Linked DNA regions of Arabidopsis thaliana. The protein of the gene in region 2 interacts with the protein of the main gene of each other region in a pairwise test. Each region holds a gene or a part of one and is shown on either strand. Other genes may lie near its edges. The genes, in order: RR1 and AT3G28430.

Region 1 (15,086 bases), 4.9 Mb from region 2:
TATGCCATACTTAATCCTACGGTGACAACTTAACGGTTCGAACCACCGGGTTTTCTTTGTGGGTAGGTGCATCTGTACTGTAATTTCTTCTTCTGTAGCTCAACTAAAAAACTGTACTGCGTTATCATGCTCATGGGCCTGGACTATCAAATTGAGCCCAATGGATATTTATCTTACAGAATTTTGCCATTATTTTTTTGTTTTTTTATTAATAATCCAGTCATCATTCATAAGTTTTTAAAAAATTCATTTGTTGCATTGATTGTAAATAAAACCGACGTAAAACTTTATTAGTTTATTATAAATTTTGACATTAGAAATAAAATAAAACCAAAAACTGAAAAAAAAAAAAACGTGAAAACAGATTATTGTCAGGACAGCGACCAATAACAAACCCTAGCCGCAAAATTTGAAAGCGGCTAGTTTTAAAAAACAAAAAATCAAAACATTGTTTCAGATTTTAGTTATAAGTTTTTGGGCGGGTGGCACAAAATTAATAAAAGCTCCCGCTCGAGGGTATTTTAGTCAATTCAAATAACCCGAAATACTAGGGTTTCCGCCCCCGCCTTCCTCCTCAATTATAAAATTCCTCTCCGTTTGTTTAATTCTGTTGCTACTAACCGCCGTCTCTCTCTCTCTCCCTCTTCCTTATCATCAAAACTTGCTCTGCTCCGATCTCTTAAAAAAAAAAAGATGTCTGAGGGATCAGAAGATACGAAAACAAAACTCGACTCTGCCGGAGAGTTATCAGATGTTGATAACGAGAACTGCAGTAGCAGCGGAAGTGGCGGTGGTAGTAGTTCTGGTGATACCAAAAGGACTTGCGTTGATTGCGGAACTATCCGAACTCCTCTTTGGCGTGGTGGTCCTGCCGGACCAAAGGTGAGATTTTTAACTAACCCTTTCATTTCAATCTTCTTATAGTCTATTGGGTTGTTGTTAGATTCCGATCTAGTAGATCTAATCAATGGATCGCGAAATAGCATCTATATTATGCATGATCCTATTTTAGGTTTTATCGTTTTTCAAATTTATTTAGGTGATGAATCAATTTAGTGACCGGAAAGATCTGATCTCATATTGCTCTGAAGTTCAAATTTTTCTTATTTCTTTGGTTTGTCTTTTGCTATGTAGTCATTGTGCAATGCTTGTGGGATCAAGAGTAGGAAGAAGAGACAAGCAGCACTTGGTATGAGATCAGAGGAGAAGAAGAAGAACAGAAAAAGCAATTGCAATAATGATCTAAACCTCGACCATCGAAACGCCAAGAAATACAAAATCAACATAGTTGATGATGGCAAGATCGACATCGATGATGATCCGAAAATTTGCAATAACAAGCGTAGTAGTAGTAGTAGCAGTAACAAAGGAGTGAGTAAGTTTTTGGATTTAGGGTTTAAAGTACCGGTGATGAAGAGATCAGCGGTTGAGAAGAAGAGGTTATGGAGAAAACTCGGTGAGGAAGAAAGAGCTGCTGTGCTTCTCATGGCTCTCTCTTGTAGCTCTGTTTACGCCTAAGTGTTTCTCTGTATTAGGTCATAATCAAGTGAGAGCGATTTTGATTAACTTAATTAGATAGAGATAATATGTAATGAATGTGTAAGTTCCTAGTTTTTTGGTTCCACTAATGTTTTGTGTTCATTTTCTTGATGAATTCAAATATCAACACTTTTTTTTGGTTCTTAGTCATTCAATGCCATAATAATGAGAATTGGTCTTAATTTTTAGTGCCTCAAATGTCATTCTCTGTGTATGGGCCCATATGGCCCAAGATATTGGGCTTTATCGGGGGAATCGTGAGGCGCGTGATTCTAGTTGTCTTGTCTCCGTCAACTCCACCATTTTTTTGTTTTTTGGTCCATTGATGTCGTTTTTCATTTGATTTGAATTTTTATATGCTTTTGAATTCACAACTGGTTTCAAATTCAGATTTTGTATGGTTTAGAGTTTTTTTTATATATATATCATGCTGAGGTTGTATACTTCGATTTGTTTTTTCATTTTATTGAAGGATGGCAATTTTTCGATTTGCACTTGGCAGAGTATCTGTTTGTGTGATTAAAAGTTGTTATGGTAACTTTGTAACAGGGACAGTGTAAATTTTCGATTTGCAATTGGTTTTGTTTTTCATGTAAGCGTATGATTCAACCTTAATAAGCCATCATTAATAATTAATAATGGTGGACCAACAAAATTTTAAGTAATGTTAAATATGGCAAAGTCATGAATCATACTTATAATTTTTTTTTAAAAATCTAAAGTGGTGACGAAAATATAATTCATTTAAATGGATCACTGGTGGACGAATGGTGTGAGTGTGACATGGCTAGGTAGAGCCGTGAACCTCGAGAATGATTCAAATTAACGGGGCAACTTCGTTCAACGGGGGACTTTCTTTTGACCAAAGCTTCTATTTATGTGTTTCACCCTTATATTATGCAGTTTCTTCGATTTAGGACCATTACTTCCATTGATTCCTTTATTTTCCTAAGCAAAGAGTACAATTTAGGAATAACTTGTCGATATTTTCCATAAACACCATTTCTTAATTTTGGAGATACGTTTTCCTTATTATTTTTCACAAATTCAAACAAAATCTTCATAATATATTTTAGCTATCAAATCACACTCTCAATACATTCAAAACTTCCATAAACACTCTTAGAAATCACTAAAATTTAGTAGACAGAAATATCAGTAAATATTTGAATATAAGTCATTTAAGCGAACATTCTATAAACTGTGTTTGGTATCAATGTTTTATAGCTAACGATTAGGTGTAAATTACACATTCACATAATTACTAAGATATAGGTTGGGGTTGCATTTTTTTATTAACAGAAATATATGGTTCATCTTGTAATTTGAAAACTTAAACCCACTATTTTATAATTTTGTCAGAAGAACAAAACCTTGTCTTTGGCTTTTGTTCGTAACCTTTGTTTACTTGATCAAGAAAAAACATTAAAATCCGACCAAACAAGGAAATATACACATTTTCAACGCGGACATAAATTTTCATTACAGCGTCTTACTAAGCTGTTCTGTTCTTTAACGCGGTCTCTTCCTCTCTTCAAAATTAAACTTCCGATTTTTCACCTTTTCATTTCCAGAATTTGTTTTTTAAAAAAGAGATTTTTGTGAGTGAAGAGATTTAGAGTAATCATGGGTTTAACTCGAAATTTCATTTTATGGATTCTTTTGTCATCTCTCTTCACGGCGATTCAACTAACGTCGTCTCAACGCAACACTCCACCACCACGCTCTAAAGACGCCGATCTCTGCAACGGCGTGTTCGTTTCCTACACTTACTTAACCGGTACCAAGATTAAACCAAACGACACGAAGAACCAGCCGTACCGGTTCGAATCAGAGATCACGGTCCTAAACAACGGCCGCGACGAGCTTAAATCGTGGCAAGTCTTTGTTAAATTCGCCCACCGCGAGATTCTTGTTTCAGCGACCAACGCTGTTCTCTCTGACGGTTCTAGCCTCCCGGCTAGCGTTGAGAACGGGACAATCTTCGCCGGGTTTCCATCGGCGGATTTGAAGACGGCGATCATGACGGCCGGCGACGTAACTCAGATGGAAGCACGTGTTGAGCTCGTGGGTACTCAGTTTGGAGTTGCTCCGCCGAGTGTTCCGCTTCCGAAGAACATCACTCTTGTTAATGATGGATGGTCTTGTCCTAAACCCACTCAACAAGGTATCAAAATCATCTGAATCTTATGACTTGAAATCTTGAGATTTTTTAATGTATTTTTTCATTTCTCGTTTAATTGTTCATAATTTTTTTAATGAATTGTTGCAATTTTAAATATTATGTGATCTTGGGTTGCTTATGAAGGCATTACCAAGAGTTTTAAAAGTCGAGCAATATGATCACATTGACCAGGTCTATTTGTGATCAATAGAGTGGTTGAAAAATTCTATTGTTTATATAGATTTCTTGTAAACTAAAAGTTTGAACTAGTCTTATTAGCAATTGAGATTAGACCTTAAGTTTACTTAGGAAACTATCTCATGCTTGGCTTTTCTGATAAATGTGTGGAATATCTGATTAAACATTTTGGAATTTAAGCTGTTCAGTTTGCATATTTGTTTTTCTTTTACTTCTTGATCATAATAAGACTCTTATTGCTGCGAGCATAAATGTTTCCTTTGTGTTTCACTGACATTTCTTTTCTTCTCTATGGCTTTTTCCAGGTAGTAATGTTCTGCAAGTATGTTGCACACCGAATCCGAACATTACAACAAGCAAAATTGGTCAAAAGTTCCTTCCTAGGCAAGAAGGAGATCTAACCATAATGTACGATGTGACCAGAGCATATCAGTCGAGTTACTCAGCGCAGGTCACTATCGAGAATCATAACCTGCTTGGTCGGCTTGACAATTGGGATCTAAGTTTTATGTGGATGAAAGATGAGTTTCTCTTCTCAACCAAAGGAGCTTATCCAAGTGTTGTCGATTCGTCGGATTGCATCACTGGTCCTCAAGCAAAATACTATAAAGATCTTGACTTCTCTAATGTCATGAGCTGTGCAAGAAGGCCACACATCATAGACCTACCCCTGACTAAGTATAACGATACCAATGTCGGGCGTATCCCATACTGCTGCAGAAATGGAACTATTCTGCCACGGTCCATGGATCCAGAGAAGTCTAAATCGGTTTTTCAAATAGAAGTTTACAAAATGCCTCCTGATCTCAACATCTCCTCTATAACACCTCCCCAGAGCTGGCAGATTAAAGGTAACCTTAACCCGGATTACAAATGTGGCCCTCCTCTTCGTGTCAGCTCAAGCCAGTTCCCTGATACAAGCGGTTTGCCTTCAAACAAGAGTGCATTTGCTAGCTGGCAAGTCGTCTGCAACATCACTCAACCAACTCCTCCTAAATGCTGCGTCTCATTCTCTTCTTATTTCAATGACTCAGTAATCCCGTGTAAGACCTGCGCTTGTGGAGGTTGCTCTAGCGACAGAGTGGCGCGTACTTGCAGCACAACTTCTCCAGCTCTTCCTCTTCCATATCAGGCTCTTCTAATTCCATTTGACAACCGAACCAAACTTACCAACGCTTGGGCAGTGTTAAAAAACCGGAAAGTCCCGGACCCATTACCTTGTGGAGATAACTGTGGAGTCAGCATAAACTGGCACCTAGCTACAGACTATCGAGGCGGATGGACTGCTCGAGTCACACTCTTCAACTGGGGTGATACTGATTTCGTGGATTGGTTTACCGCGGTTGAACTGAGAAATGCTGCACCCGGTTTTCAGAAAGCGTACTCGTTTAACGGAAGTATCATCGCGGTCAACGGGAAGAACACAACTGTTTTAATGGAAGGGCTCCCTGGACTGAACTATCTCCTTGCAGAGAAAGACGGAAAAAACCCGAGTGAAGACTTTCGGATACCCGGGAAACAGCAGTCGGTTATCTCCTTCACCAAGAAACTGACTCCTGGAATCAAAGTTGGTTCCAAAGATGGGTTTCCCACCAAAGTACTCTTCAACGGCCAGGAATGTTCACTCCCTTCTGTACTACCCACGAGCAACAGTCACAGGAAACATGTATCCACCTTTCTTCTCATCCTGACACCATTTTTGGCTCTACTGTTTCTTCGGATTTAAAAGTTCCAGTGAAGGACTTTCCTCATTAGCCAGAAAATATACAGTTTTCTTGATTCTTTCTAACCAGATTTGATGCAGAATTACTTCTACTACTAGTGGTGCTTTGTGCACCGTGTGATTCTTGAATTTCGTATGATCAGATTTTAGTAATCAGTATGTATACATACAAATATTGAACAGACAAATCCCTTTGTGTTTTGATCTTGAATTGCTTTGATTTCACGTTGTGGCGTTGTACTAAATTAAGTTTGTTCGAATTATTCTAAGCATTTACTCGAAATACATACTTACAAAACCCTAAACAGCCTCACTACATAAATGAGGAACAAAAGAATCTCCAAGGATATTAACCCCTAACATGAATAATTATTTCTTATATAATCTGCCATTTAAAATTTCATGCAGACTACATATATATCAAACAAGTTTTAGTAGATCGTCGTGTAAAAATGATACAGTACAGATCCGGGTAGTCCCTCCGGTTTATCGGTTTTTTTATCCAATCAAACCGGAATGTTATCGATGGAGTATGCGTCAAAGTCGAATTCGCCATCAACCGGTGCAATCCCTTCCTGTATATCAATAATTCAAGATTGTGTTTTTCAACTTTTTTGGTTCACTGATTTTTTTTGTTATTTAGTTGTAATTTGCATTATTATGAAAAAGACATGCGACCAATGGTGAGAAAGCGTCTGAGAGTTGTTATATATTTGATTTTGAACGCAAACATGTACGTTGACGGATCAGATTATGCTTCTATATAAGTTTGACAAAAAAAAAAAAATCAAATCAAACCTGCTTAAGAAGTGCGCTCATAAGATCTTCTTGATTACTATACTGCTCGTGAAACGCCATTGTTGCTGTATCCGTAGCCACTCTCTCTGATTTCACCCTCACTGAACCACCGTTTCCGTCTGCATAAACCTGATGGTGCTGTACCATTCCCGATGGTGGCTGCTGGTGGTTTCGGCCATGCTCGGTGGCTGCAACTGTCGTGTTGTGTCTTGACATGGACGAAGAAGAGTAGGCTTCTGAAGCGGAAAACGCAGCGGATTCTGAGTCCTGATGTGAGTCAAAGGCTATTCCAATATTCCTCAGATCCCAATCATTCTGTCTGGTGGTGAACATGTCGTAGCTCGGCGTAGTGAAACCCGCTTCGGAGCTGTTAACCTCTTCCTGGTAAGAAGTGGCTTTCCGAACCGGTACTGATATCCCTGGTGCACTTGCCAGCGGGAAACTGTTCACGGGAAGTTCTGGTTGGAAGTTGTTATAAGGCATCGAGCTTGATGAGTGTTGTGTTGTGAGATTAGTGTAACTTGTCGGTAACACTCTGCTGCTCTCGGGGATATTGTTCCTTCCAGAGAAACCACTTCTCTCGGAAATGCGGTTTGATAACATCGGCTGCCTGATGGATGATTGCGAAGAGGTTAGCATAGGCGGTGGTCCCCGAGGCAAAGACTGCTGACCCGCTAGAGGCATCAGCATTCCGTTGTTTTGAACACTATTTCCAGCTCGAACAGCAGCAATCTGTTGTTGAATACTCATTCGATTACCCATAGGAAGCTGCTGTTGTAAACCCGTGGGGACACCGTGAAGTAAGTTCATCTGTGGTTGCTGTTGGGGTTGTTGCCCGTGATGCCCAAGCCCTTCTCCAAATCTTGTTTTCGTGTTGTCAAAGCTGAAGATGCTTCTCTCATCCACAATGGAGGAAACCGGCAAACCTGACTTAGAGACCATCGCAGGCCGGCCTAAACCAGCGGCTTGAAGCTGTGCAAGACTCTGTGCAGGTAACTGACCTGTGACGGCTAGTGCTTGAAGATCAAACCCATTCAATGTCGAAAGAGGTCCGAAGCTCGCATCCTGACCCGTCATAAACGAGTTGTTAAGATTGCCTTGGTGCTGCGATACCCCTCCAAGCCGTCTTAGATATATCCGGTATTTCTGCAAGTCCACATAAAGCCGCTAAGAACATCTAAGCATTTCAATGGCTCATTTTGGTATCCAGTATAAGATTTATACCTGGAGGTGACTTGCTACGTTTTCTCGGGTTAGACCAGGAACATTCATCAGCTCTAAGATCTTTTTAGGAACCGCCTCTGCGCCATAGAAGATCATTTAGACCCTGAGCATAACAATCACAAATGCAAATGTAAGAAGTTTTAGTCTTACTCTCAACGCCGAGCTGATTAACAGCAGCAACAAACTGCTGATGCAATTCAACAGACCAGACGACACGCGGTTTCTTCAAATTCGACGCATCTTCGTCCTTATCATCTCCTTGCTCTTCTCCTTCCTCGTCTTTCCTCTTCCGTGAACTGCTCCTCCAATTGTTACCTTCGTTAACCGAGGATGAGTTATCATCCACCGCATCCTCTCCACCAGAAACAGCTGCACCACCACCACCTCCTCTATGTTGCTGCTGCTGTCTCTCGCCAGTCTCCTCAATGCTCCCAGAATGTTCCGGTACACTCCATTCACTTCTCCTCTTCCTAACTACATGCTGCCATATGTTCTTAAGTGCCTCCATACGTACAGGCTTGATAAGGTAATCAACCGCACCGTGCGTTACTCCCTTTAGAACCACACTCTTTGAATCATCCGCAGACATCACTAGTTAAACGAATACAAGATCAATAATCTATAAAAAAAGATTCAAACTTAGATGAGATTTGAGGGAGTAAAAAGAACGTTACTGATAACAGGTAAGTCCATCTCTAGACCAACATGCTCAAGAAGCTTGAAACCGTCCATGTCAGGCATATGAACATCACTGATTACTATATCGAATCCATGTTTGTTCTTCCGGAGCAGAGACAATGCCATCTCTGCTCTGTTGCATTTCGTTACTGCATGTCATAACAACCAAAATGTTTCATATCTTCAAAGATAAAAGAAAAAAACAGAGATTTGAATTCTGACAACAAGGACCTCATGAATTGACATTTAACCAAAACTCAAGTCAAAGATCAAAGACTCAAGATTTGAATCCATTTGAAACCTCCCCTAACTTATTATATACAATGGATCTACATGTGAATCTATCAGTAGATCAAAATGGTGTGATCTAAATGAAGAAGCTCGAGATTAATATGTGAATCTTAAAAAGTAACCAAAATGGTTTCTATTAAAGGGGGAGCAAAGTTAGTCAACCACCGATATGAAAACCATAATTATTCCTCAAAATAACATAATTTTCGAGAATGGACCACAAATAAACCCATCATTGGAGCAAGAGACCATGAACTCTCTTTCTCTCTCTCTCTCTCTCTCTCTCGTGAGATTAAACGAACAAAAAAAAAAAAAAAAAAATGAAAAGAGAAGATCTTGGTTTTTGGATACGAACCTTCGTAAAGACAAGTCCTAAGCATCCTCTCTAAGATCATGAGACAAGTTGGGTCATCGTCAACGACAAGAACTCGAAGACCAGAAGGAAACATCTCGACGACGGTCTCACCACCACCTCCTTGATTTCTACCGGAGCTGGACCCACCAGCCGATCCGAGTCCTCTTCCGTGACTCGGATTCATCATACCTCTCTCTATGTAGCTCGAACCCAAGAAACAAAAAAAGAAAAGCAGAAAAGAATATATACCCAGAAAGAAAGAGGGGAAATTGACGCGAGTTTTATTCGATTTAAAATTGAATATTATGAGAGAATACGAAATTGTTGGAGATAGAAGTGAATCTCTTCTGGGTAACCAAAAAAAAGAAGAAGAGAGAGATGGTGAGATGAGACTTAGGGAGTTGAAGAAGACAAGGCTTGTCTCACCTTAGAGCTCTTTTTCTCTGTTTTTTTATTTATTCACAGAGTAAAGCTCTCTTAATTTTTCCTATTCAATTTTTGTAACATTTAGATGCAGAAGAAAAAAAAAATGTGGTTTTTATATACTCAGTCATATATATTTTTTATTTACATATATGTAGAAGCTGACATGTCCTTTATTTTCATCATTCTCTCTACATTTAGACTATTGGTTTTATTAAATTTCATTTAGATCCACTCTCTTTTTTATTCTCAATTTCTTACAAGTTAGTTTTGTATATTATATGTACTATTGTTCTATATTCTGTTTTATTTTTCTATTTAGAAGAACATTTTGGATGTTGCTTTGAGCTCAAATTCTGGGTTATTTTGTGAAGTAGTGAAATATAGGGGTTGAATCATCAATGAAAGAAATATAGGGTAAGGAAATTTATATAATTGGGAAGAAAGTGGGACCAAAGACCCTTGATTCGTGGATCCAGCTCATGCATGAAAAAATTAATTAACTCGTCATATGTAAAGTTTGCAAACTCAAACCTTAATAGATTTTCATTAGTATTATTGTTGTTAGTTTCCTAATTTTTTGTTTTAATTTCCATTTTCTACCAATTTCGAATAGGAATTTGCCTTAAACAAAAGAGCAGCTGCATATATATATAAAAAATTCTTAGTTTTGATATGCCTATAATTTATTTACTAAACTACCCTTTGAATTTATGTAATTGAGAAACAATGCCTCCTGTCTATTGGACCTACATGTATTAAATTAAACGGCAAAATAAAAATATAATCATATCATTAAATTAAACAAAATAATACGTCTACGCACATTCAAGCATATGATTAAGGTACCAAAATACACCTAAGCATTTCCCATCATCACCTACATCTTTAGCTAAGATATAGTACATATACTTTTATCAACAAAAAAAAACCAGATATATGATGTATACATAACATAAGATTACTCGATGCCTTTTTTGGTGCAAATTAAACATATAACCTTCCAAATTTTTTAGTATGTATTTATTTCAAGTCGTGTGTAACTATGATTAGTAAGAATATAACTTATATAGTATACTTTTCATGTTTTAATCAAAAACAACTTGTAGTTCTAGGAAATAAATTGTATTAAATGGAAAATAGAAAAAAATTGTACGTTTGATTGTTGAAAACATATATATATATATATATATATATATATATGTATGTATAATTACAAGTTTACAACAACAGTAGTCAGTATATGGTGCAAAAAAAAACATGTGCGCTTCTTCTCTTAAAACGTTGGATACTAAATAAACAAAGAAATAATGCAAATGGTTCATCTGAATGATTAGTAACATCATATGCTACCCACCAATCGCCCTATTCCCCCGAAAGTATATTTTTAATAATGTATAGGATAACAAATCATATTTGACTATTCGATTGCTCTACGACATATTTATAAACACATACAAACCAGTAACTTATTTATAAATGTGTAAATTTGTCAACTTCAATGTAAACTATATCTAAGTTATCCAAGTTCAGTGTATACTTTGCTTAAATAGTTGTTTAGCACCGCCGACATGTCTTATCTTTTTCAAATTAACGATAGTTTTAAGTGTGACATACGACTTGTTTCATATGTGCATCGATACCTAATTTCTTACATTAATCAATGTTATCAAGTAAAATTCACTACTTGTAGTATTTAGAAGGAAAACTCAACAATACGAATATTAAATCAATTAAGTATTTCTTTAATTTTTATGAACTATCAACTATAGTGTATTTTCTTTTGGAAATACTGTACATGTGTATATTTCGAAGAATAAAATGAAAACATTTAATGATAAGAAAAAAACAAATAAATCACGTTGCTGAGAAGCTTTCCCTATTGCGACACGTGTCCACATGAAATGGATAAGATCACTCGAACCATTTGCATCGACCTCTCCATCTATCGTTGTCTTCATTTGTTAAATTTTCCCTATTTCAACAATCATTTTAAAAACATTAATAGAAATAAAAAAAACGAAACTATTCAACATTCCAACTTGTAATTGTTATCGTCAATAGCCACTTATTACCACGAGAGCTTGAATTTGAGTTTAAGAAAGATATACTCATAATTTCATGTTTAGTAGCTTTTTTTTCTAATAGCTTTCTTTACTTTTCCTTACATACGATATAAAACGTAAAAACAAAAAATTGATGATTAATATAACATAAATTTAACTGCGCCAAAAGCTATAATATAGAGAAGGTCCCAAGAAAGTAACCCGCTGAAACCGTATATTCTCTGTAAAAAGTTTTTACTCTTACGATGAGCTTTTTGAGTTTTTAATTTATATTTTTCACTTTATTGTGCTTAGACAGACATGAATTACAGATCCTCCTATTTTATTTATATTTCAAGTACCAACTATAGGTCCATGTCACCAAAAAAGGTTTTGTAGAACACAAATGTTTCAGCTTTTTATGCAGAACCAACAACTTTAATATGACTAACATTTGCACACCTATGGAGCGTTATATTAACATTAAGTGAGTAAGCTACTGAAAACTTGTTGAAGTTCTTGATGGAAAATGCACTCAGCAAATTGGATAATCAAAATACTTAGATCCAAAACATACAAATGCGTTAAAACAAAAGTATAACTTGATATGCTCATATACGAAGGACCATTTTATCCAAAATTCTCGAATGTGAATATTTCAGAATCGATTGCATGTGATGAAGACAAATTTTCATATTTTGCATTGGAAGTATCTGTTTAAGCAACTAAATGGTATAATGGAGTTTTTTTTTTCTTTTTCTAGATAATGCTTTAAGGTCAAATATTAATTCACGCGGGCCAATAGAATATTGGTTCTTTTTCGTCCTAATTATTAATCCATATGGATTTTGAAAAGTAAATTTGTATAACCAAATTTAATTAACGCCTGCCAATAGAAATGTGGAGTTATGTACATAACTTATATATTCATCTACTTGATGGGTGTCCTATCATGTGCCCATAACTTTTGGTAGGAAGTTGTAACTTGTATTACTAAACACCAATAGTTAGAAACTGAACAACTTTTTTCATTTATTTCAAACTAATCGTTTTGCAAGTGTTGTATACACTGAGTTACAATGAAAAAATTACAATAAAAAAACAAACAAAATCACACTAAAATAATAATGAACGTTACATTGATGCAATGATTTAGAGTATAAATTGGATTTGATAAGCCTTACATAGGAGTTAAAATGTGAAATTTTATATTAATTACACTAAACATCTGGGGAAAAAATATAGCCCGATGACAGAACCATTCCTAAAACTCTTTTTGTTGTTTGTTAACTAATGTTTTAGATTTCTACTAATTATCGTTATGTCAAACAGACAACTATATGTCTATTCAGTTAAAAAAGAGAACTGTTGAGTTTGAGTGTAAGCAAAAGAATAGAGTGGGAGAACAATGGGGTCGACGGCTAAAAAGATGAGCCACGTGTCAGTTCAGGAGAAGAAAAGAGTATGGCAGCCATAGTGTTACGACGAACTAACCGCAGCAACATTGCGACACGACTCCTTTGCTTTTTCTTCTTGCCAACCTCTCGACAAGATGGGACTAATATTGGTTTCATACGATATGTAATTCAAAAACTGTTATTTCACTTACAAATGTTTCTTTAAAAAAATACAAAAGTTGCGGTCCTATACAAAGAAAAAATGTTGTCACTAAATTTTAATCTCCCAAAGAAAGTGAAAACGGACATGAAAATGTACAATTACTAATCAGTAGATGGTAATTAATGTTTTGACAAAAAAAAATATAGACGGTAATTAATCTTAACTTATGGCTAATAGTAATATCATCGCTAATTAGGAGAAAGGAAGTATCTAAAGTCCGGAAAAATGACCTGCAACCGCCCAAGCCACTCTTCAGCCGCTCGTAACAGCTTTTCCGTTCTTTGGTTTAAACTTGTGGGACACGAAACCAGAGATGGGCTGAGATTGGTTTGGGTCGCTTGTACCTGGAATCATTGGTTTGAACCGTTTGGGTTTGGAATGTGTCTTGAGTTGCGTCTTGGGTCTTGTCACATGTGTGTGTGTGTATATGTATGTGCAAGAGATGGGTGTACCTTCTGACTTCTGAGAGCTGAAAACTACAATGACAGGTTCGAAGATCTGCATTGTCAAAGCTCACATAATTATGTAATGATAGCATTTTTCATCTCAATGGAGAAAATTAAGATTGTTGGAAGTTACGTATAAATAAAAGGTAGTAATCCATCAATTTCACAGCTGTACTCAAAAACCTAACATTTGATTTTGATAAACAAAAATGATAGTTAAACGTTGAAACTCACAAACAGAGCAAACAAGTTAATGCAAACAACAAAAAGAAAGAATCTTAAAATGGCAAATTGGCAATGATACTTGATTCAAATGAACTTCCTATATTCCGACAGGACTCCTTGTTGTGCTGATCCAATCCCACACATTGTTGTGTGTTTCGTCATCTGAACTAATACTATCTTCCAAAACATGAGAGCATTTTGAAATTGGAAGTATCTATCTATAACCGAACAAAGAGCATCCAAGACATAACTAATCATTTCACATATAATTTTTTATTTTCTTCTTCACAGAAAGAAAAAAAGATGAATTTTGTTACACCATGAATGAAAGAAATGGAAGCTGTACATTAATACAATAGAAAAGCTCGCTCTGTTCTTGAAACTCACCACCTTAAAACGTAATTTTTCTTTTTTTATCTTCTTCCTCTCGCTCTCTGACAACAAATTTTATGAACTTATTGACAAAAAAAATTCGAAAATCCAATCGTATCGTAACCTCATGCACTCTCTTCTTCTTTTTCTTCTTCTTCTTCTTCATCACCATTTTATTTTACTATAATTACCAACTGTAATACGACTGAGCCGTCGCATCACCCTCGTATATGCTACCACCGGCGAAGCAAGACGAAGGAGAACTCATGAGTTCTTGACAAGGCTCCGGTGATACGTCGTCTGAGAAACCAGAGACGTTGGAGCATATCCAAGATTCTTCTGATCGCGTTTGTAAATGAATATCCGCGAGGCATATCGACGTGAAGGGAGATTCTCCGATCCCGGTGAGATTCCCGGCTACTCCTATATCAACTCCGGTGAAATTCCGCATAACAATGTGTGTCACGACTGGGAGTGCGTCCCGGTCGAATTTATCATCCGGGTGTGACCCGGTGTGTCCGTTGGCTACTATGGCTGTGTCAACGCTTGTGAGATCGACGTCGGAGATTGTGATATTACGGATGTATCCTCCTCTGCCTCTGGTGGTTCTGAAGGCTACACCTATGAGTGAGCTGTGTATGTTAAGACGCTCAACGGTCACATCCGAGACTCCGCCTGACATCTCGCTCCCGAAGGAGATTCCAGCACCGGTGGGAGACTTTAATCTGAGATTCCGAATATGAACAGCGGTGGTTGGACGGCCGTAGTGTATACCGTATTGGTCCCAACCACTCTTGAGAGAAACCGCGTCGTGGCCAACGTTGATTGTTGAGTCCTCGATACAAACATTGTCCGAAGAATCTTGAAAAAAAACGGTTCAAGAAATTAGCTTTCAAACGGTAACATTTTGTAGTGATGGAAAAGAATGAGGAAATGGTATATACCTGGGGCAACTCCAAGAACGTGGGGAGAATCAACGGATGTT
Region 2 (16,777 bases):
GTTGGTGTGGTCACATATGTCTTATGGACTTAATGAATGTGTTAGTATTGGCCTATTGGGCTTAAAAAGTCCATCTCCTTCTGATCTCACTTCTAAACATAGAGCTCCATTGAAGGAGTTTGGTCCTCCATGTGAAATGCTTCCACCAGCTAAAAGACTCATATAATTGATCGTGAAGTCGTTGAATTTACTATGGATGATTCAAGAATCACGGAGAGGTGCACGTGCCAATGGGGATCTCGAAGATTGAAATGACCGAAATGTCTTCTCTAAGCACAAGAAAGGGATCCATATTTTTTTTTGATGTACCCTATCGGCTGATTTGGTTAGCTTTGTTAGGAATGCACCGAAGTGTTATAGAGTAGACTTCTCTCGATACAGGTAGAATTGAGCTACCATACAGTCTGATCCGAATTTATAATGCTTTCCGACTAATTATAAGGGATTGTAAGGCCGCCTACATTTCTAACTATCATGTAAACCAGTTGGACAAAGACCCAAGTGACAGACTTCCCAAACAAATGTATTTTTGTTTTTAGGGATAATCGAACTTAGGTATCAGAGTTTTACCATTCACCAAAACTTTCTTTTGCCACTAAACAACATAGGCTTGGGCAGGGATCCACATTTTTACACTAGAAATTGCAAGTGATCTTTGTTCATTATGATGAAAGAGCTTCGTTCCTTTTTTTTTTTTATCATACACTCAAACACCCAAAATCCATAAGTGTGAATCTCCGACTCCACATGTACAACAAGTTAATTTTCTTCACTGGTTTATGTCATTTAATATTTTGACTTACATAGAAGATTTAAAATTTCGAAGAAGATTATATTTTCGATTTTTTGTTGTTATGTAAATTTTTTGAATATACTTTTGTGTTCTTATGGCATTACATCAAAAAAAGAAGATGCGATCTTTTGAGCTATTAGCTCAAACTCACAAAAGAAACGAAGCCAAAGAACGAACAAAACCGAACGAATCTTAAGATGAAAAAAAGATTGTAGAGAGAAACTCTTAAACCAAACAAGTGACTTCCCGAACTAAAAAGCTACTGTCAGAGTCTTTTGGTCTCATCTTCTGATCAGTTTCTCTGTCTCTACCTCGTCTCGCATCTAGCACCAAATGTTGTCTAAACGTCGTGATGAACGCTTCAACTCTCTCGTTCAACTCCTCATTGGATAACCTCCCTGGCTCAAATTCATCTTCTTCTCCATTATACTCTATTTCTTTCTTGTGAAACAAGCAATCTTTCACAGTTTCCTCAAATTTAGGGCAAACTCTTTTCGTCTCCTCCACTAAAACACACTTCTTGATCACTTCCTTTGGCTCAACAAGTAAGAAACCTTGGTCAAAACAAGCCGGTTCCACCACCACCCTTGTCTTCTTCTTCTTAATCTTATTCTTTTTCTCTCGCATCATTCTCAATCTACCTCCTCGACGAGTCTTGAAATCATGACTCCTCCCGAGGTTAGGACGAGTCGAGGTAAAGTAAACGGCTAAGAGAACGACGTTGAGTATAAGAAACACCAACGAACGCCATTGCTCGATCAAATACGATACAGAAGAGAAGTGTTTAAGACAAGCCATTGAAAGAACAACAACTGCAGTCAACAATGAAGTACACATGTTCTCTTCCTCCACTCTAATGTCTCTCTTCATCTCCATTGTTCTCTCTATATCTCTCTACTTTGCTCTGTTTCTTTTCTCCTTCCTCCGATCGATTCTTATACGAAATTTCAAGATTCGTAAAACAAATATTTGGTGGGTCCGATTGTGGAAGACCAAATGGCGAACAGAAAGAACAAAATGAAAATGAAAAGACATGAGAAGGAGAAGGAAGAAGAAGGTGGAGGAGACAAAGAACAAGCATGCCCTTCAAATCTGCTCTTATTCTAGACATATTATTATTACTTTCTTCTCAGGCTTTTTCTCATTTCCTTTGTTTCTTATGTTTTTCTGCTTTTCTTGTTCCCTTTGTTTTCTCTTGGGGACCATTTTCCTTAAACCAATCATTTTCAACTTCCACTATATGCAAATTTAGTTTCAATTTTTTTTTCAATCTTAGTTTCCGGAATAAAAATAATTTTAAATAAATTCTTCTATTGCTTGTGGATCGCTTCTTGCAATGTTTACCAAATGTTACGGCCACGGATGCGGACACCCATAGTTTGGTCTAGTTTGGTCTAGTTTGGTCTGTTGTTGTCTTGTTGACATAGACCGATCAATTTATAGCCCACAAAAATATTATCCATGCGGACGGATCTATTTAGGTATGTTTAAATACGTTTTACAGCTCTACTAAAATACGCAAATATAATGGCCAAATAATATCAATTGGGTTATTGTTTTTTAGGGGAACAAAAAAATTGAGAGAAGTGTTAGCTACTCAAAGTTAAGTTCAATGGGAACTCTCATGCAAAGCTGAGAGGAGGGAACATTTTTGCAGGATGTGAAAATGTAATGAAAACTTATTTTTTTGGTTGAAAAATCGAATAACAATTTTTGCTATAAAAATAATAATTGAGACACATTACACGCCTGCTCCTATCTGTCATGTTAATTCTCTCATGGTAGTGTGTGGCCCCATGTTTGTTCTTCTTTCCCAAACACATGCGTTATCTGTTTTGCAAATGTTCTAATCCCAAAACCTCGAAATTTCGAATTGCATTGAGCAACTTTTATACAAAATTGTTTAACATACATTTACTGACAACTTTTAAAATCTAGATTCATACAAAAAGTTTGAATGTTTATAATTTAATAATAGTGTGTCCTAAACTCAAGAACTTACATTAGAAATCGTAATTCGAAAGTTAAAGCTATTTGCTTCTAATGGTAGGCTTAAGACGGCTTCCATTCTTTTCTTTTTTCTTGTTAAAACGGCTTATGAGTCTGTCCCTCCCATAAAGCAGTTTTAGGGCACCAATATAAAGAAAATTTTAGAACTATTTATTCAAAAAGTTTGCTTTGGTTAGTTGGTTATGTATTTCATCACTGAGTCATATGTGTTTGGTTTCATTCCTTCATGTTACATTTTTTGTTGTTTTGTGAAGCGGGAGTTGATTTTTTTTTTAATCCATTTGTTAATTTTTGGTCCAATTTTTTTTTTATTAGGTATTACCAATAAAATTTCCAAATTTTTGATTTAACTTGGTTATTAGGTAGTACGACACAAAATCATACACTTTTCTTCTTCATTTGCATGAGGATTGGTTTGATTCCGTAGTTACTTCTGCAACATTTCACCATCCACTTGCGGTATATTAGTTCTTTCCGCAAAACTAGGTGTCAAATGCCTCAAGGTTTGGTGCCCAATGTTGTGATATATAACAATCTAATAATGCATGTTTATGAGGAAGAACATATCAGCTGAATAAAGTTTGTTTCTTTTGGAGCTCATTAATGAAATGAGAATCTCCATATGTCGCAAACCTACAATATCTTGATACATAGGTATATGGTCGTTAGATGATATGTCGATGAAGCAAATGGTATTTTATACAATGATGTTACATTAAGACCACTATTACAAAAAAAAATAAAAAAATAATAAACGAAAACAAACAAACAAAAAATGGACACGAAACTTGTGAAACAAGGTACCTGAAAACTGGGTACGTTGCAAGAATCATGGAAGCTGCTCCTAAGAGTGCATCTAAATTGCTTGGAGTTTAGTATATTCAAGATGGGGAAGATCATTACCAAACTTTTGAATGTGAGATCTCAAACCCGACGAAGACAAAGTCGATCGATGAAGGCAAGGTATCGGCAGTATGATGTTTCATTGATCTTCTAGCTGGTTTCTTTCAAGGTCAAACAATGGCCTTAACCTTCTTTCTACCTCGCTGCATTGTAGATCGATCTCACCTGCAACCATTGAGTAAGCAGAGTGGCAAGATTCATCGTCCCTGAATGCTAATATCCATCTCCCATCTACTAGACCTTTGGACTTGAGCTTCTCATAGACTCCTCGCTTTGTTGGATCCAACAACGGTAATGTAGATGGTCGGATTCTCAAGTGTAGCCATCTCGGGTGCTTTTCATCTATTCGGGGCTGAAAAGCAAACAAAAGATGATAGAGATCATGTACTATGTTAATATTTCAGGCCTTCCTGTGGATCTTCACGGGCATTTTCGTTAAAGAAGAAGACAGTGAAGGTGATTACGTACTTTGCAGCCGGCTAAAGGTGCCGTTACACGGACGATTCCATTATCTGGATCAGCAAGGACAATCCATCCAGACTCACCGGATGATAATGCTAGAAATGAGAAATCTCGTTCCTTGCCTCTTTCAAAGGCAATCCTACAGGGTACAGCATCAACTGCACCAGGAAATTGCAAATATTAGATTACCTATGGATACCGAGACAAATCAATCAAACTGGAGTTCTAAGAAATACAAGAGATGACATCATGTAATTGGTTAGATGGTGTAAGTAGGAGAAGTATAAAAGCATCATGCGCTAACCTAGCTTCAGTTCGGTGCCAGGTTTGGGGACTGATACATCCAGACCAGCTCTTGTGGCACGAGAAGTTTCAGATCGGTCGGCTGGAGGATAAATAGGCGGCTGCTCGGGTAAGGACCTACCGAGCGAGAAAATTTGGAGTTGATGAAGAAGCACGAAAACCTATAAGGAGGAAAGGGTTGATAATCAAATGTCCGTATTCATATACATAAACGACAAGCGCTGATAGAAATATAAAGAGAAAACGATTAACATACCTTTACCACCTCGCACATTCTTTCACCAGCTGTGAATGATGATTCGCTAACAGAGTTATCTATAAAAGATCTTCAGGTGTTAATGGTTTGCATAAATAGGGTTTCAACAAGGAATGTCCATATCATTCACATTTGTCATCAGCTAATTGCGTAGAATGTGTAATAAATATCCTACCATTAGAAGAGGATCTATCCAGCTGAAGAAGAACAGATTTAGGCTCTTTTTGAGGGGATGGAGCTTCGATTACTGTCAAAAGAGAATTGGTATCAGAATCATTGAACATATTCTTACAAACGAAATCCAACGTATCCAAAATTCGCTTCTTTACTTGCCTCTTTTGCACTTTCTCCACTCATCAAGCAGTACCCTGATGAGTAGATCAGGCCAGATACCTTTAATTTCCCTGGTAAGGGAATTTTTGCATTTCTCATACGAAACCTGCGATAAGCAGGAGGTAAATAATCAAGAGAGGGAGAGGGGAAAGAGAAACAGTGGCAAACCGAAAAAAACATCTTGAAAGCAACATACATTCAGCATCTTGAGATGTTTACGATTAAATTCTGCCTCACTATAAGGAAGCAATTGGCGTAAAAGCCATCCTCCATCCCATAATGTTTCTGCAGATATGTTTTCTCGGCAGAGAAGAGTGACCAATGTATCCACCACCTACACCATATTTGTAATTAAATTAAGACAAGAACTTTTGCACTGTTATGAAAAAGAACCAATCTTTAGCATTTGGAATTTCAGAAGAAGCTAGGCTAGTAGGTCAGGTTTACAAACATTCATATTTACCTGATGTCTATGTACACGGGGGCACCTTGCAGCCCCAGGCAATGAACAGCACACTCCAAACTGCTCCTGTTGAAGGTACTTGAACGAATGAGTCAATCACAGAATAATACAACACCAAAGAGATGGAGTTTAAGAGATGCAGTGAAGTACCTCCAACCTCCGTAGATACCAATCAAGTTCACTACTTAAGCCATCTCTCATGGAACCATTTCGCGGTGAAAATAGTTGTTCTTCACCAGTGTCCTCCCCAACCAAAGATTGCTGTCAGAGATAGCTACCAATTAAGTTTTGAATAATAAGGAAAAAAGGTAGTCCATATTTTTTGGTCCATGCTAATATGCTTTAGTAGATGGTCAAGTAAAAGGTATTAGTAACAAAATCCATGCAGATGAGACTTTCCCTGGCAAAATTTGCTGGAAAATATATTACGCACAAGAATAAAGGATAATGACAGAAACTCACCAGCAAAAGTTTTTTGTGCTGCTTACGCTGAGGAAGAATGCCAAAAGCATCTAGCATTGACTCTTCAAGTTCTACCAAAATCAGAATTTAAGACGTCAATACCAGAAAAGGCAAGAAGAATCTGCACAATGACAATGCCACTGCCAATACCTTTTGTCTGCAGCAGAGTGGCTAGCACAAACAAGGAACCCTGAGCTTGTACATCATCTCCTTCAGAAATATATTGAAGTAAAGTCTCCCTATTTACAAAGAAAAAAGAAATAAAAAAACACATAAGCTTAATAGTAAAAAAAAAAAAAAGGACAATACTAAGACAGCAACTATCCCAACTTCATTCAAGGTCTTATTTGCTAACACTTTACCTAAACGTCATATGAGAATTGTTGAAGATACTTTTCGGAGTATCTTCACTGCATAAGTGGGAATTTCCATCGTCACTCATGCCTGCCGCAGTGCTTGAACACTGTTGATTTGCCTCCTCAGTAACACCCTTGTCTGGATGCCCATTTACATATGTAAGGCCTTCAGGAGCCAAGCTGCTATTAGGTTTCACTAGGGAACTTGAAATGAATGCTTTTACAGGGCAGAAAAGAGTAGCAGCAGTCATATTTGCCAAATCTTTGATTTTAACTATCCGCAGGATGCATGAAAGCAGATAAAGAGAAGTGACAGGATCAACTGATATGTCCTGAAATAACCACAAAATCAATACTTTAGTGAACTAAAAATAGAACTCTGGCAAAAAGTCAAACCTAACAAGGGTAAAAAAAACAAAATCCCAAAGGAACAAATAAGTCAACCCTGAAAATAAAATTAAGAGGAAAAGGTGATATTTGGTACATTTACAGCCTCGGAGCATAAAGACGGGAGAAGAAGTGGGAGAGTTAGATGCTGCAGAATGTGATCTGTTATCAGCCTCCCGATATCAGGTATGCCAGCAGAGATAACATCACTAAAGTAGTACAAGGTGTCCTCAATCCCATCAACGGCAGAAAACAATTTTCCACCTGAATCCGGAGATGGGCTTCTGTAGCAAAGATTAAATGAAAATCTTTCAGAATACAATTTATCCAAATCATACACAAACAAAATAAGTAGGTAGATGAAAAGGGGTTGTGATAACTTATTATCAATTTTACAAGCTATTTCCCTGGGAAATGAAATTGCACTGAATCTTACTTTAGAGTGTTCAAGACCATTGCACTTAGATCCATGCATTGCTTTTGGAAAAATGAAATTAATTTTGAAAAGTACTCGGTGTGCGGTGGACTAACTACATAATCATTCACAGATTCATCGCCAACTGCAAAAAACAAATTAAAGGCATCAGAAATGTTGCTAAAGGTTCTGATTACTTTTATCATACAAGTGACAAATCTAAAGAACTATTAGAAGTGACTGACCGTGATATACATTAAGAGTCAGGGCACGAACTGCAGTGCGTATCATGTTCTCTTCATGAAATGCAAATTGTATGCCTTCGACATAAAGGGGGAAAGAAACTACTACATCCTAGACGCAGAAACGCAGAATTAAAATAAGGCAGAAAAATCCATAAAGGAATATAAAAGTTAAAGGAACATGAAACAACAAGAATACTCACGTTCTCGGTCTTCAAAAGCAACGATATTGTATGCTTGTTCAGCTTCCCACTAACAGCTCTACATAAAACAAACAAAACAGTTAAAAGACACAATCGGTAAGTACTTCCTGAAGCCAAGATATCAGCCGGAAAATTTACCTTAAGAAGGATATGTAGTAAGATAGAAGCTCTTCGTGTTGGAAGTCAAATGTATATGTTATCAAATAGTTTACATATTCGTTACTGAACAAGTAATCTGCAAGGAGTTTCAAAAGAAAATCATCAATAGACTATAATCATGAGAATTCTCATAGAAAAATATACTGCATCTGATAAACTCACAGATGGCTTGTTCACTTTTTAGGTTTTGGATCATTATACTCATGGTTTGCAACAACTGGACAGAAACTGTTACTGTCTTGCTAACCCTCAAAATACGTACAAACTCTCCCATTACTTGTTTCTCCATAAAAAATCTGCAACAATCGCAAATATTAACAAATGCCAAAAGAAAAATCCAAAGGTGGCTGACTGATAATTAGCAAAAAAGACTCACTCAAAGAATAAGGGGTCATGCTGATCCCCATAAGTTAATATCTCCGCAATCGATCTCAGTGCCTCGATAACGAGATCCTTCAAAAATGACACCCGGTAAACAGACATCAAAGCCTAACAAAACAACAATGCCAAGACAATGTCCACTAACCTTATTAGCCTCGTTTACTATCTGAATCTTTCTCAGCTGGTCAGTCAAATACCTATATAAAAACCAAAACTTTCAACACTTACTATGTTTCATCATCATCTGGTATAACAACTAATGTCGTAACACTACGATCACAATGAACTTTCTGAGAACAAATCATTCTCCTACAATGGTCAACATAGTCCCTTTGACCCCTGAGACTAGGGAAGATGAACTTATATAGTTTCCCTACAATGGCACCACTCAAATCATCAACCCTAGCAAACTACTTGCAAACTACCAATTCAACAAACACCCTTAAAAGAAACATTTTTCCCCCACAATCAAAGGATAATCTCAGCCACAATTCAAATGAACCAAAAGAGAGATAAATCGGAAAAAAAAACTGAAACTTGTTGTAAAACCAAAGGCGATCAAAGAAACCTGAGTTCGGCTAAGGAGAATCGATCTCTGGGTCTTAAGAAGGAAAGCCACATGATTGTTTAAATCAATCCTTTGGAAAGTTCCAGTCTTCTTCTCTGGATCATCCTTCACTCTCGAGAAAACCCAATTTCCATTATTGCTTCTCGTCGATTAAACCAAATTCCACAAACTCTGACGAAATCTCTGATCCAGGGATCAAAATCATACAAAATCAAATCGTATATCGAGGGGAATAAAAAGTTCGAATTTTTCGAATGATTGTTTAGATGTTTCTTCCGGTAAAACAACAGAGATTGATGACGGCAATTGCGAATTGAAGCACCGATGTGGGTTGAGAGCTGGCGTTGGATTTGGATTCGGATTCGGATCCGGGTCGGGTTCAATCTCGAATTCAAAGAAAGAATCTTCAATTGAAAGATCCGTCTTTCGCATTTAATTTAATTTAAGGGGAACATTTATTTTTCACGTTGGACCCTCTGACTAGAGAAGAGGCTTCTCGATAATCAATGACTCACAACTGCCACGTCATACACATTATTATTTACAAAACTAAATTGTTTGTTGTCATTATAACATTGGTGATTTGCAGAAATGACCATGTTTGATAATTTATTTAAGAATATAGCATTTTAATATATAAAACTAAGTAAATAACACTAGAGAGGGATGAAAAGTTAAGTAACTCCTCATTAAAACATGAGAACACGCGCGTGAAAAGAGAAGAAGAGTGACGTGATCCTTGACACTCTTTTCGGTTTATGGACATAAATAAAAGAGAAAAGTGTTGGCTAGCGTGATGGTGGCGAAGATGGCGATGATGGTAATAGTAACAATGACAGTACCGATGGTGATGGTGACGACAACAGTGGCGGTGCCGATGGTAATAGTGATGATAACAGCGACGGTGCCGATGGCGATAGTAAGACAACAGTGGCGGTGCCGGTGGCGATGGTGACGACAACAGTGGCGGTACCGGTGGTGATGGTGACGGCAACAATGGCGGTGTCAGTGGCGATGGTGACTACAATGGCGGTGCCGGTGACGAAAAGATAATTACAAATATATATTGATTTAAGAAAACTAAACCCTAAGATACTATACATGGAACCCAAACAAAAATCATTAAACGAAATGAAATCATCTCAAGTTTCAATTTTCAAAAATCTAGCAGCAAAATAGAATAGTACAATGGTGATGATAGCTTCGGTGACGATTTTCCGGTGATGATGACTCCGGTGACGATTTTCCGGCGATGGTGGCTTCGGATACGATTTTCCGGCGATAATGGCTTTAAAAGTAGTGGTGGTTGTGGTGGTTGTGGAAGAAAAGAAGAAAGAAGAGAGAAGATGTTCATGCAGAAGAAAGAAGAAGAAGAGGATATAATTGTATTTATTACATATAATATACACAATATCACCTTATGGTTTTTGAAGTGTTAGTTTCCAAATTATTAAATTTTTTTAGGTTATACTTGCAAATTTCCCTTATAATATTTACAAATGGCAAAAAAATGATTGGAATGACTCAGAACTCTATCAAAAACGTTTACTTAGATTTAAACTAGCTAGTAGTATAAAGAAGACCACTCTATTTGTTTATTTCCTAGTAAAGTAACGAATTATTTCTTCTTGAGATTCTCCCACAATTGTGTGCCAACATCAAACAAAACAATACAAAAGTTTATAAAGGCATGACTAAAAATGTTATGAAGTTTTGACCATTGTATTTCACATCATGAAGTTTTCTTGTTAAGCTTGTTTTAGTTAAGTATTTCATGTATTATTTCTCACCACGATACATCTAATCTGACGTACTGAATTTCAAAACTTTTGATTTGTAGCATTTTATCTAATAAATTACAAGTTAATTCTACAAAAATTGAAACCCATTCCATCGAATGCGTGGTTTAAGTCCCAAATTTTTATCTTCTAGATTTTTAAAATTTTTAATTTTAAACAAAATTAAAATAAAAAACGATTTTACAAGAGAAAGTTTTTGCCTTTTCGAGAAGAACCGCAACCTTCCCACAATCTAGAAATCAATCTCCACTTCTCAACAATGGAACAAAAATCTTTTATATCTCTCGAATTCAACAATGGAACAAAAAGCTTTCCTTAAAACAAAATTTTTTTATGTCAAACCATACGAGCACAAAAGACAGATAAGTCTTTTGTTATTCTATATTTGATTTGAGCCAGAAGGAATATCTTTGCCAAAACGACCAAAGGCAAAGCCCATTTTGTGATTGCCAAGAGCAACTTATCAGTAAAAGGTTAAAACATAGTCAAATTAAACCGGTAAGTGTTGGACTTTGGAATCCAAGATAATTACCAAGAGAACCAAGGATTCCACCAAATAAAAATATATCTATTGTTGTAGTTTAGTATACAAATAAATATTTTATTAAAATAATACTAAATTAGTAACTAATTTCATTTATCACCAAAGTGATTACAATAGAATAATCTATAACTTTTTGAGTGCATCTATAAAAAATGTCACTTAAGTAATAGCCACAATCCATTAGTATAAATTTTCGTTTGTTGAAAAACGAAGGCCACTAGGGTGAAAGATGATTATGCTAAGGTATATTCACATCAAAATATATGGTGGTTCTATCATTTTCATTGTAGTTGTGTTCGTATATAGGTTAGGTTAGTTAAAAACTATTTAAACTTTGTCATGAATATTCCTATATAAAAGTGCATATTTGACCATACCAAACCCATACATACCTAACCGGCTAAACCCCATTTGCTCTAACAAAAGGTCTACGGTGACAACACCACACGCACGCATATGCAATAATAGTATTAACTATTAAGTATATGAAATACATATGAATATATGCTTCTTCTTTTTTTGTTAACTAGGGAAAATCTAGAAATCTAGACCAATGCCTAAACTAATTTTCGAAATACAGAAATCGAATTTTCTTTCCACTAGAAACGTTTACGGGTGGCTAATCTGTGACTGTGAGACATATACATTTCTCATGATATGTTGATATTAAGTGAGGTTGAGGCTGTGTCAAAAAAAAAAGAAAAAAAAAAGTGAGGTTGAGGTTTTGAATCTAAGCAAAGAAAGATCATACACAAACTCCATTGAGATGCAAATTTATCTCTCCTAATCCACTTAGATCATCCTCAAGGACGTATACATAATGTATTATGAATTAGATATTTCACCTTCGTGTCCACTACACTTCATTGGTAACAAATACTCTCTCTGAATTTGAGGTTTTGAGTTTTGCACATCTATTAAGAAAAAGTAAATTTTATATTTTTAGTTATTATTTTGTTAGTTTAATAATATTATTATTATTTATCTCATTCTTTTATTGGTCACAAACTAAATTAATGATGATACTTTTACAGAACATTAATCTTAATGGAATAAATTAAAAATTCAAAACATTAAATTTCTTGGAACAGATGGAGTATATCATTAGGACTAATGATTGCAGATAGTGTGTAATCCAACTATATCATTTGGACTAATAATTGCAACTAGTGTTTTAAGAAGAATAAGTTCTAGCTAGTAATTATAAATGACGTTTATCGAGATATCTTGGATAATGGAATTAAACTTTTAAGCGTCTTCCTTGTATCCAATGAATTTTTATAATTTTATCAAATTAAACATGCCAGTTTTAATGCTATTGTCATCTTGTTGTTATAAAAATATCACACTCCAAAAAGATTGTAAGAATCCTTAAATATCAAAATTAACCAATAAAAATAACTACCATCATGGTTGACAGAAAAAAAATTTAACTACCACTCGGTTCACAACAAGCATATGATTTACTGCAAAAGCTCACCATAATATATATGAATCGTTTCCGTGACTTTTTCCAAAACAATATAAAGACGGTCGTAAAACTTTATCATCTGCGTAAATTGTTGTAACAAAGTTTTTTTAATTGTTTCTATTTATGTGATTTTCTAATTTTAGATCTATTATATTTATCAAAACTTTAGGGTTTTATATGTTTATTTTTGGGTTTTTTGAGTTATGAGTCCATGAGTTTGCTCAATTTGAGCTTAATACTGAAAACACGGTTCTGTAGAATCGAAAAAACAAATTCGGATAAAGGATATATCACATAATATTTGTTTCGTTTTTCGTTGTTTTGTCGACGGATCATGGAAAGGAAATGACAAGTTTTATGGATAAGAGTGATTTTGCACCTTATTAAATAGGAAGTCGCTAACCATGGGAGTTGCTAATTTGCGTAGAAGTCTATCTCCACTACATAAAGAAGTCGAAGCTGTACTCTGGATGATGAAGTGTATGATTGGTGCCGACAACCAAAAAATAACTTTTTTTACAGACTGTTCAGACTTGGTGAAGATGGTGTTTTCTCCAACCGAATGATTAGCATTTTCAATATATGTGGAAGAGTTCTAGAGCGACAAGGAAAAATTCACAAGTTTCCCTATATTTTTAAATTCTCGAACTGCAAATGTTATAGCGGACAATTTGATAAGAAAAATTCATACTGAACCGTTACATATTACATATGGAAATAATTTATTTAAAAATTGGCTTTTCTAACTTTTAAAAAAAAATTTGATGATAAAAAAAAAAGTTACAAATCCGAAATTAATTATGAAGAAAAAGAAAAGAGTCCGAAAATAATCAACATAATGTTTATGTAAAATGATCTATCTATAAGATAAGTCAACTTAAGGTAAAAAAACAAATTATATTTCAAATCGAACAAACTAGTCGAATAAAAAAGAAATTCAACTACAAAAAAGACTAGACAATGATGGAATTTTGTTATAATTTGCTTTGAAAACTTTACTTAAAAATTACTATAATAATAATAATAATTAAAAAATGACATCAAAGTCGACGACTACTCTATAATCCTTGCGACGACCGTTCAACACGTCTGACTTACATATTGTCTCTCTGCAACTTTTCATTGGCAGATACACAAAATCTTTAATTCTTAATCCAAACCCAGAAACAACCTCTGAAACCACTTCATCATCCATGAAAGAGATCGGCTCAAAACCAAGAAAGTTACTTCCTTTATGCTTCATCATCTTCCTCTGTTTTTGTTCCTCTGTTATGGCTGCAGATGAAGACGACATAAGATGCTTAAGAGGACTCAAAGCATCTCTCACAGATCCTCAAAACGCGTTGAAATCATGGAACTTCGACAACACAACTCTTGGGTTTCTCTGTAACTTCGTTGGTGTGTCTTGTTGGAACAATCAGGAGAATAGGGTTATCAATCTTGAGCTTCGTGATATGGGTTTATCTGGTAAAATCCCAGATTCTCTTCAATACTGTGCGAGTTTACAAAAACTTGATCTTTCTAGTAATCGATTGTCTGGTAATATCCCTACAGAGTTGTGTAATTGGTTACCTTTTTTGGTATCTCTTGATTTGTCAAACAATGAATTGAATGGTGAGATTCCTCCTGATTTAGCTAAGTGTAGCTTTGTGAATTCTTTGGTTTTGTCTGATAACCGGCTTTCGGGTCAAATCCCGGTTCAGTTCTCGGCTTTAGGGAGGTTAGGGAGGTTCTCTGTTGCTAATAATGATCTCTCAGGTCGCATTCCTGTGTTCTTTAGCTCACCGAGTTATTCCTCTGATGATTTTAGTGGGAATAAAGGTCTTTGTGGTCGTCCTTTATCTTCGAGTTGTGGTGGTTTAAGTAAGAAGAATCTTGGGATAATAATTGCAGCTGGTGTGTTTGGTGCTGCTGCATCAATGTTGTTAGCTTTTGGGATTTGGTGGTATTATCATTTGAAGTGGACAAGGAGACGAAGAAGCGGTTTAACCGAAGTAGGAGTTAGCGGTTTAGCGCAGAGACTTCGTAGTCATAAGCTTACTCAAGTGTCTTTGTTTCAGAAGCCTTTGGTTAAAGTTAAACTTGGGGATTTGATGGCTGCAACTAATAACTTCAACTCAGAGAACATTATTGTTTCCACTAGGACTGGGACTACCTATAAGGCGCTTCTTCCGGATGGTTCAGCGCTTGCGGTGAAGCATTTGAGTACGTGTAAGCTCGGGGAAAGGGAGTTTCGGTATGAGATGAATCAGCTATGGGAGCTTCGTCATTCTAACTTAGCACCGCTTCTTGGTTTCTGCGTTGTGGAAGAAGAGAAGTTTCTTGTTTACAAGTATATGTCTAATGGGACACTTCACTCGTTGTTGGATTCAAATAGGGGTGAATTAGATTGGTCGACTCGGTTTAGGATTGGTTTAGGTGCTGCAAGAGGTTTAGCTTGGCTTCACCATGGATGTCGACCTCCAATTCTACACCAAAACATTTGTTCAAGTGTGATTCTCATTGACGAGGATTTCGATGCAAGGATAATAGATTCAGGGCTTGCAAGGCTTATGGTTCCCTCGGATAACAATGAGAGTAGTTTCATGACTGGTGACTTAGGAGAGTTTGGTTATGTAGCTCCTGAATATTCTACCACAATGCTAGCATCATTAAAAGGTGATGTATATGGACTCGGTGTTGTCCTCTTGGAGTTGGCTACAGGGCTAAAAGCTGTAGGAGGTGAAGGTTTTAAAGGGAGTTTGGTGGATTGGGTGAAACAGCTTGAAAGCTCAGGTAGAATCGCTGAGACATTCGATGAAAACATTCGAGGGAAAGGACATGACGAAGAGATCTCGAAATTTGTTGAGATTGCTCTTAACTGTGTGAGTTCAAGACCTAAAGAGAGATGGTCAATGTTTCAGGCATACCAGTCACTGAAAGCTATTGCTGAGAAACAAGGCTATTCGTTCTCCGAACAAGACGACGACTTCCCTTTGATTTTCGACACGCAAGAGAACGAGAAAGTGTGAAAATGAACCTTTTATGATACGAGGAGGAAGTAAGAGTATAATTATTTGTTGTCTATATCATCTTGTACTACTTGTAGAGACACTATATGTTATTGTAAAAACAGAAATGTATATGTTATTTGTTTTCTCTTGTGTCAAAGTCTTTAGACATGTTATGTGTTGCAAGTGTGTCTTTCTATAGTATTGGAAGAGTGACAAAATAATTTTTTCACTTGTATTTTCTTTTAAGAACAAAAAGAAAGTGAACAACAGGATAAAGAAGATGTCTCTGCAGAATCTTACTTTAGGGGTCTGCTTCTCGATACAGTCAAAATCAATCCCAGAAAAGAAGCTAAAGAAGGCAAGAAAGAAAGAGAAAGACAAGTTTTTAGCATCTATGGTCACTCACTCCTTTTGAATTTCACTTTGTAAGATGCTATCAAAATTACACAGAGAATATAAGATTCCCAAAGTTCACAAGAACCCAAAAATGAAAATGTATGTGATTCTAAAGTTGTGCAAGGACAAGCCTTGTATTAAGATGCAAATATCATTGGAGTGGGAGAATGATTTTTGAAAATGGAGCAACTTTAGTTTAATGGTTTTTTGCTTTAGCCAGAGGAAACATAAAAAAGCAAACTTTAAAGTTAACAGATTCTAAAACAAAAGGCAAATAAAGAAAGATGAGGAAAACAGGAAACAGAGAGTTAGATAAAGACATAAGCCTATAATAACTAAATACAAATGTTATTACAAAAACTCTTAAGAAGTCTTTAATATCTTAGCAACAATCTTCTGAATGATTTTCAATCTTTAGACACAATGTTCCAAAACGAAAGAGAGAGCAGAGACTTCACCTTCCAAAATTCTACAGAGCAAGACTTCACAAAGCTATGAGTTCATAGCATATCTCTAACATCTGAAGTTAATGATTGCCTCAGAAAAAATAGTAGCTTCTTGACGTGGAAACGTAATTGAGAGGTTGAATACTTCACTGTGTCTTGAGACGGTAGAAAAACCCGAAAATGAACGAAGCCCGCATGACATAAACATTACAGTCAATATCATACTCTTGGTGGCCGTCTCGAAGTTTCTGCTTTCCTGAAGAAATAGATTTGAAACAAAAGCTTATTAAAGTAGAGTTCTTTCTGCAGTAATAAACTTTAACTAAAGTGGTCAAAGTTCTTCACAAGTGCCTTTAATTCTTCTCTAAGGCTTTAAAATTAGATAAAGAAGAAGCTTTTACTAAAACATGATAACATTGTCTGCTTTCAAAA

The links.
Region 1: the proteins of AT3G28430 (region 2) and RR1 interact in a two-hybrid assay, tested with the Arabidopsis thaliana proteins (one large-scale study listed by BioGRID).

What each region holds. Positions count from the first base shown.
Region 1 is NC_003074.8:5,750,184-5,765,269, reverse strand, and holds RR1 (response regulator 1), read right to left. Parts: upstream 9,450-15,086; 5' UTR 9,158-9,449; coding exon 8,971-9,157; intron 8,915-8,970; exon of another isoform or gene 8,556-8,914; intron 8,474-8,555; coding exon 8,321-8,473; intron 8,238-8,320; coding exon 7,797-8,237; intron 7,724-7,796; coding exon 7,647-7,723; intron 7,569-7,646; coding exon 6,423-7,568; coding exon of another isoform or gene 6,417-6,422; exon of another isoform or gene 6,200-6,416; coding exon 6,131-6,199; 3' UTR 5,827-6,130; downstream 1-5,826. Other genes in the region: GATA17 (GATA transcription factor 17), read left to right, coding at 694-882, 1,135-1,518; COBL8 (COBRA-like protein 8 precursor), read left to right, coding at 3,166-3,706, 4,207-5,627; AT3G16850 (Pectin lyase-like superfamily protein), read right to left, coding at 14,289-14,962, 15,046-15,086.
Region 2 is NC_003074.8:10,653,656-10,670,432, forward strand, and holds AT3G28430 (CLEC16A-like protein), read right to left. Parts: upstream 9,118-16,777; 5' UTR 8,750-9,117; coding exon 8,697-8,749; intron 8,326-8,696; coding exon 8,274-8,325; intron 8,201-8,273; coding exon 8,124-8,200; intron 8,044-8,123; coding exon 7,910-8,043; intron 7,824-7,909; coding exon 7,727-7,823; intron 7,647-7,726; coding exon 7,589-7,646; intron 7,498-7,588; coding exon 7,389-7,497; intron 7,289-7,388; coding exon 7,165-7,288; intron 7,013-7,164; coding exon 6,826-7,012; intron 6,674-6,825; coding exon 6,348-6,673; intron 6,225-6,347; coding exon 6,136-6,224; intron 6,057-6,135; coding exon 5,986-6,056; intron 5,785-5,985; coding exon 5,674-5,784; intron 5,590-5,673; coding exon 5,524-5,589; intron 5,395-5,523; coding exon 5,257-5,394; intron 5,167-5,256; coding exon 5,061-5,166; intron 4,975-5,060; coding exon 4,903-4,974; intron 4,787-4,902; coding exon 4,728-4,786; intron 4,633-4,727; coding exon 4,473-4,632; intron 4,327-4,472; and 5 more. Other genes in the region: AT3G28420 (Putative membrane lipoprotein), read right to left, coding at 1,019-1,669; AT3G28450 (Leucine-rich repeat protein kinase family protein), read left to right, coding at 13,704-15,521; CLE25 (CLAVATA3/ESR-RELATED 25), read right to left, coding at 16,565-16,601. UniProt on the Arabidopsis thaliana protein: Involved in membrane trafficking and vacuole development through membrane fusion at the vacuole. Required for membrane trafficking machinery and accumulation of flavonoids in the seed coat.